Linked DNA regions of Ovis aries. The protein of the gene in region 1 interacts with the protein of each later gene in a pairwise test. Links are inferred from orthologs where the notes say so. Each region holds a gene or a part of one and is shown in the gene's direction. Other genes may lie near its edges.

Region 1 (3,189 bases):
AGAGTCTTTTCCAATGAGTCAGCTCTTCTCATCAGGTGGCCAAAGTACTGGAGCTTCAGCTTTAGCATCATTCCTTCCAATGAACACCCAGGGCTGATCTCCTTCAGAATGGACTTGTTGGATCTCCTTGCAGTCCAAGGGACTCTCAAGAGTCTTCTCCAACACCACAGCTCAAAAGCATCAATTCTTTGGTGCTCAGCCTTCTTCACAGTCCAACTCTCACATCCATACATGACCACAGGAAAACCATAGCCTTGACTAGACGGACTTAGTAATGTCTTAGTAATGTCGGCAAAGTAATGTCTCTGCTTTTGAATATACTATCTAGGTTGGTCATAACTTTTCTTCCAAGGAGTAAGCGTCTTTTAATTTCATGGCTGCAGTCACTATCTGCAGTGATTTTGGAGCCCCCAAAAATAAAGTCTGACACTGTTTCCACTGTGTCCCCATCTATTTCCCATGAAGTCATGGGACCAGATGCCATGATCTTCGTTTTCTGAATGTTGAGCTTTAAGCCAACTTTTTCACTCTCCTCTTTCACTTTCATCAAGAGGCTTTTTAGCTCCTCTTCACTTTCTGCCATAAGGGTGGTGTCATCTGCATATCTGAGGTTATTGATATTTCTCCCGGCAATCTTGATTCCAGCTTGTGCTTCTTCCAGTCCAATGTTTCTCATGATGTACTCTGCATAGAAGTTAAATAAGCAGGGTGACAATATACAGCCTTGACAGACTCCTTTTCCTATTTGGAACCAGTCTGTTGTTCCATGTCCAGTTCTAACTGTTGCTTCCTGACCTGCATACAGATTTCTCAAGAGGCAGGTCAGGTGGTCTGGTATTCCCATCTCTTTCAGAATTTTCCACAGTTTATTGTGATCCACACAGTCAAAGTCTTTGGCGTAGTCAGTAAAGCAGAAATAGATGTTTTTCTGGAACTCTCTTGCTTTTTCCATGATCAAGCGGATGTTGGCAATATGATCTCTGGTTCCTCTGCTTTTTCTAAAACCAGCTTGAACATCAGGGAGTTCACGGTTCCCGTATTGCTGAAGCCTGGCTTGGAGAATTTTGAGCATTACTTTACTAGCGTGTGAGATGAGTGCAATTGTGCGGTAGTTTGAGCATTCTTTGGCATTGCCTTTCTTTGGGATTGGAATGAAAACTGACCTTTTCCAGTCCTGTGGCTATTGCTGAGTTTTCCAAATTTGCTGGCATATTGAGTGCAGCACTTTCACAGCATCATCTTTCAGGATTTGAAATAGCTCAACTGGAATTCCATCACCTCCACTAGCTTTGTTCTTAGTGATGCTTTCTAAGGCCCACTTGACTTCACATTCCAAGATGTCTGGCTCTAGATTAGTGATCACATCATCATGATTATCTGGGTCGTGAAGATTTTTTTGTACAGTTCTTCTGTGTATTCTTGCCACCTCTTCTTAATATCTTCTGCTTCTGTTAGGTCCATACAATTTCTGTCTTTTATCAAGCCCATCTTTGCATGAAATGTTCCCTTGGTATCTCTAATTTTCTTGAAGAGATCTCTAGTCTTTCCCATTCTGTTGTTTTCTTCTATTTCTTTGCATTGTTTGCTGAAGAAGGCTTTCTTATCTCTTCTTGCTATTCTTTGGAACTCTGCATTCAGATGCTTATATCTTTCCTTTTCTCCTTTGCTTTTCGCCTCTCTTCTTTTCACAGCTATTTGTAAGACCTCCCCAGACAGCCATTTTGCTTTTTTGCATTTCTTTTCCATGGGGACGGTCTTGATCCCTGTCTCCTGTGCAATGTCTCGAACCTCATTCCATAGTTCATCAGGCACTCTGTCTATCAGATCTAGGCCCTTAAATCTATTTCTCACTTCCACTGTATAATCATAAGGGATTTGATTTAGGTCATACCTGAATGGTCTAGCGGTTTTCCCTACTTTCTTCAATTTGGGTCTGAATTTGGTAATAAGGAGTTCATGATCTGAGCCACAGTCAGCTCCTGGTCTTGTTTTTGTTGACTGTATAGAGCTCTGCTCACTCATCACATAAATGCATACGGTTCCCCCTCTGAACTGTGTTCTCTGAGGACAGGGGCCTTCTCTTTCCAGATACACATCCCCACGCTTAAGACAGTCCTAGACACATGGTAGGTGCCTGATAAATAGTCCTTGGTTGAACGGGTGAAATCTGGCATCATCTTCACAACCTCAGGTCTGTTTGTCACCCTATACCCTCTCTCCCTTATCTGGGGTTTATTGTCCCGTGCAGTAAGTATTCTTGGAGCTCTGGCTGCGTCCGCAGCATCGGAGCAAGGCGCTGGGGGAGCCCATGAGGGGTGCTTCCAGCAGTGTGGTGATGGCTATCTGTCACATCCGTTTCTAGGAACGCCGTGGAACCAGCCTGGACATAAACGATGGGCCCTGTGGCCTGGGCATGGGCACCGAAATGAATGCCGCCCTCATGCACCGGAGACACACTGACCCGGTGCAGCTCCAAGTGGCTGGGGTATGTGAACGTCCCTCTCTGGGCTCAATGGAGGAGACCGAGGGGCCAAGTAGAGAGACGGTTGGTCCTCCAGAAGAGGCCTCACACTGCGTGGAGTTCACATAGAGGTGGAGGGAACCCAGCCAGTGACGGTGGGGCGAGAGTTCGCGGCAGAGCTGATCCCAGCTGGCATCATCCGGCCTGCTGCCCTCAGTCTGGCCGTCAGGCCTTGCCCGGTGCCCGTACTTCCTGGCTGCCATTCTAGCAGGGGGAGGCCTGTTGCGTTTGTCACTGATGAGGCTGTGCTGGCACCGAGGCTATTAGTCTGGGCATGCTGTGCTCTGTTTGTCACTTGAAGAAGATAAAAAAGACCACCTATTGATGTAGGGATCCTCTCGGGGCCTTGGGGGATAGGCTCAGGGGTTGCTCAGGGCTAGACACCCGGGTCTGCTTTCAGTGGCAGCAGGGTTTGAGGTACCACTCTGGAGAGCCATCCATCAGCCTTCAGGGCAGGCTGCTCACGGAGAGCTTTGTCTGGACCACAGGGCCAGCAGATTCTCTTCCGTGTGTGTGCCAGTGACTCAGAGCCCAGCTTGGCCAGCCCGGGCTCAGCAGGGCCCCTCTGTTTTTCCCCAACAGCGGGTGCGGTGGGCCCGGGCGCTGTATGACTTCGAGGCCCTGGAGGACGACGAGTTGGGCTTCCGCTGCGGAGAGGTGGTTGAGGT
Region 2 (4,408 bases), on another chromosome or scaffold:
GGAAAGTGTGAGAAGCATCTCCAGGGTTTTTCTGTAATTGTTATGGAGAGGTTTATTCATTGGCACAGACCTAAGCTAGCCATCTGAAAGGCAGTGGTTGTTTTCAAGTCCCCCTGGGTGGGTGAAGCAGGTGTTTGTTTTGTCTTCCATGTATTGTACACTGAATGTGTACTGAAAAATATAAAGAACTGATCTATGTAACCCTTTCACCTGGCCACCACTTGCCTCTGCTGGTGTGTGTGCTGTGTGCCAAGTAGCTTCAGTGGTGTCCCACTCTTATGGACCTATGGACTGTAGCCTGCCAGGCTCCTCTGTCCATGGGGTTCTCCAGGCCAGAATACTGGAGTGGGTTGCCATTTTCTTCTCCAAGGGATCTTCCCAACCCAGGGATCGAACCCAGGCCTCTTATGACTCCTGCATTAGCAGGCAGGTTCTTTACTACTAGTGCCACCTGGGAAGCCATTATTTTCCTGGTGTAAAATAATCTTAAAAGAAAAAAAGTAGCACTTAAAAGTTAGGATGTGCTTAAAGAAACAGGAATCTTACAGCTACCTCTGAGCTCTGTCTGCAGGGAGTAGGCCACAGTCAATATTGGGGAAAACAGAGTGTTTATCACAGAAAGTGGACTGTGGGCTTGAATCCAGGCGTATCTATCTACAAGTGCTCAATCTTGCCAATTTACCAAATGTCTTGGTACGTATATCTAGAAAACGAGAATTAGTCCAACCCTGGGAGAGAAATGAGTGAGAAAAGCATGTGACAACAGCTGGTTCCCATCGCCTCCCAGTAAATTGGCGTGTCTGTGGCTGTTGGTCTCAATCCCCGCCGTCTCCAGCAGCTTGTCGGTAGGTACAATGAAGGTGCCAACCCGACAGTCATCTTCCCTTGTGTGGATACTGATAATTCGTTACCTTTCTGTTTCTCGGTGATTAGGCCTTTGTCATTCCTCCTTGTAGCCAGAGTCTGGTGTAAAATAATCTTAAAACTTGAGTGTAGACTCAAGGGGGTAACTTCCAGCTGCTTTTCTGGAGAGTTTTAGGACTGTCGGGGCGGGGTGGCGGGAGGCACGCCAAGGGATGGATGCTTTTCCCAGCTGTGGCACTCTCAACAGATGGGCACCACACAGATCTCTTGCGCCCTATAACAGCAACTCCAGCGCCACGGTGAGGGATGGACAGAGAGGGAGCTACATCTTCAGGACGAGTGAGATTCCCGAGCTCGCCGTGTTCCTCCGGGCAGGCCCCGGGAAAGCGAAGGAATGCGGGCGTGCGGCGGCGCCTGGCGAGGCTGCAAGGCGCCGGAGCGGTCGGACGGGGGAGCGAGAGCTAAAGCTTGCGGAGCGCGCCCAGACGCCCGCCGGATCCTGGAGCCGCCGCCTAGCCGAGCCCGCCCGGCTGCGGGGGGCGGGGGAGGCCGAGCGGGAGGCGGGGCGGGGCGGGGCGGGCGGCGCCGGGGAGGCGGGGGCGGGGTCTCTCCGAGCTGCGCAGGCGTTGCTCGCACCTTGTTGATTAGTCAGTGCTGGGAGCGCTGCTATGGCGTTTCTCAGACCCGCGGCTCCTCCTCACACGCTCCAGGCGGAGGGAAGGAGGGGTGAGAGGAGGAGGAGGCGAGCGGGCGGCCGCCGCAGCTGCAGACCCGGGGCCAGAGGAGGAGGCGGAGCGGGAGCCGCCGCAGCCACCCCGGCCGCCGCGGGGCTGCTGCCTGTCCTCTCCGGGCTTGAGGGCACGCGGGGCGCCCCAGCCATGCCCCGCAGCGGCAGCTGAGCCGGTCGCGGGCCCCCTCCGTCCCTCCCTCGCTCCCGGCTGCCGCAGCCGCCGCCGCGCCCCCGGGCTGCCCGCGGCCGGAGTGCCGGGCGCCCCTCGCGCGTCCCAGCTCCGCGAGCGCGAGCAGCGGCGGCCGCCGAGGCGCGGGGTGGTGCCGGCGGCGGGAGCGCGGGGCCGGAGGAGGCGGGGAAGATGGACCCGGCGCCCTCGCTGGGCTGCAGCCTCAAGGATGTGAAGTGGAGCTCGGTGGCCGTTCCGCTCGACCTGCTGGTCAGCACTTACCGACTGCCCCAGATCGCGCGGCTGGACAGCGGTGAGTCCCCGCCCGCGAACCGCAGTCTTGGCTGGGCTGTGCGCGCCTGAGCCGGGGAGGGTGGGACCCGGTGGGGAGTGGGGTGCCCGCCCCCCAGGCGTTGGACTTGGCCCGCGCAGATGCCGCAGCCCTAGCGCGTCGCTCTCAACTCCCCCCAGCAGCAGCTAGAGATGTGAAAATCAAAGCCCTTGCAGGATAATTAAAAAGGACGCCAAAAAAAAAAAAAAAAAAAATCAACATTAGGGAAACCTCTGCAGATAGTAATCTTGGAGGCGAGCTGTCCCTCCCTACCCGCCTGCAAGAATTACTCAACCTGAGAAACCCTGAAGAGTTAGCTTAGGTAACTTTCTCACAAAATAATTGTGCTTTGGGTGGCATCTTTATTTTGGCAACTCTCCCCCGCCCCTCCCCAAGAAGGAGCGGATTTTAGGGGGAAAGGTCCTGGATGACCAATGAAAGAGATCACATTTCTCAGAGACCTTTTATTACAGCTTGTCTGTTTTGTTTAAGTCAACTGAAAGTAATTTAGAGCTGTGTGTAGCAAATGTTTTTAGTAGAGGTGATGGTATGCTTAAGGTTAATTATTAGCTTAGCGCATTTCCAGTCTGGAAAAAAAACTGAAGTCCGGAAAACCTGTATTGACCTGGAACCTGAGCTCAAAACTAAGACATGCTTGTGTTTCCTGAAATTGACAACCAGAGACTAACCCCACGTTTCCCAGCTGTTTGTTCTGCAGGTTGACATCTGCAAACAGGTAGATAGATGTGCATACTGTCAAGATACTTTTCGGTTTGAGAGCTGTGACAGACAAGGTGGCAGTTTAGGTGTGTTTTTCCTTTTGTGTTTTCGTAATAACTTCTGTTGATTTTGGCTTCATGCGGTTTCAGACTGTTTGCAGAAACAAGCTGGCCTCTGCTATGGGGCTGCTTGAAGCACCTGGGCCCAGGCCGGCAGGCAAGTTGATAAAGCTGAGCTCACGCCAAATCAGCACTGAGCAGAAAGGTGTCATTTCTGCTCAAAGGACTTGGGTTGCTCCTTTTTCTCTGGAGTCCAGGCATGTGTAACATGAGACGTTATAAGCATCTAAAGGCATTTTTGTTCCCTTTCTTCTGAGGAGTTAGATTAGACGTTTGAAGTACTGCTGTGAAAAATAAACGCAGGAGAGTTCAAGATCACTGTAAAACAGTCTCGCCGTGCTTACTAGCTTTGTTTAATTGGTGGTGGTAGTCGTGGGCATTGGGAATAAGCTAGGAGTTCTGAAACTAGTGATGAAGGGCAAGTGAGTTCAGGGATGGTCAGGTGGTATGTTTTGAGGCATTTCTGCTTAGAGTAGGAGTGCTTTAAATATGTGTCTGCAGGTCTGAATCAGAGAGAGTGTGTGTACTCTGAGTTTCATTTATTCTTACATTGTGTGACATTGTGTATACTGAAAGGTTATAGGATTCCTCACTTTTTCCTCTCTCTCATCTCTGCTCACTTCACCAAAACTTAATAGCTAGATGGTGTAAAAGTCACCCAAAAGTTTCATTAAACAAAATTTTAAGAGGCTGAATGTCAGTTGCAGACATAACTTTCAGCTTTACAATCCACTTTCTTCTCTCCCCGCCATTCATAAAAAGGATCTGAATCAGCAGTGTACTCATCCCACACTTCTTTTTCAAATTAGGACGTGGGTAGCAAGTCTTAACAGTGTGTCCTTTCAAGCTGTGGAATGGATGTTGATCATTATGTGTAATTCCAATTCCGTATTGTAAAGTTTCTCTTATTACTGCTTGAGGATCACAGTGGCCATGTACAAATTTGGAATCATAGCCAAATACTGCTTTATACTTTGGTCCTTTCACTTAGTCTCATCTTATTTTAAAAAAAAAAACAACTTTTTTTAAGCTACATGCTGTTTCATGGGATGATGGCTGTACCATATATCGAGTCCCCTGCAGTGGACACCAAAGCTGCTTCATTTTATGAATTTTAAGTTGTGATGTAATGAATACTCTTATACATAAATCTATTTGTTTGGGTTAGGATATATTCCTCCCCTGCTGAATAAACACGTAAATCCTTTTTAAGTCCTTGTTACACATTGCCAAATTGCTTCAGAGACTAAAGGTTGTACTCATGCTCAAGGGAGAATCATGGGAGTAGCAGCTTCCCTACAACCTTAAAATAATAAGTATTTTACAAACAACTAGAACCAATAAAATTTGCTAATTTGAAGGGCGGAAAGTGTTAGATTACCAATTAAATTTGGATAGACTTTAAAAGAGTTGGTCATAGATTCCATGTTTATTTTTTAAATGTGTCACAGCAGTGCGCAGAACACATTAAGGAC

The links.
Region 2: the proteins of GRAP2 (region 1) and GAREM1 interact in binary tests that used the Homo sapiens proteins (3 or more experiments, as listed by UniProt). The link is inferred for Ovis aries from reciprocal best matches to the Homo sapiens genes GRAP2 and GAREM1.

Annotation. Positions count from the first base shown.
Region 1 is NC_056056.1:217,144,975-217,148,163, forward strand, and holds part of GRAP2 (GRB2-related adapter protein 2), read left to right. Parts: intron 1-2,362; coding exon 2,363-2,485; intron 2,486-3,103; coding exon 3,104-3,189. UniProt on the Homo sapiens protein: Interacts with SLP-76 to regulate NF-AT activation. Binds to tyrosine-phosphorylated shc.
Region 2 is NC_056076.1:25,032,600-25,037,007, forward strand, and holds the start of GAREM1 (GRB2-associated and regulator of MAPK protein 1), read left to right. Parts: upstream 1-1,510; 5' UTR 1,511-1,955; coding exon 1,956-2,076; intron 2,077-4,408.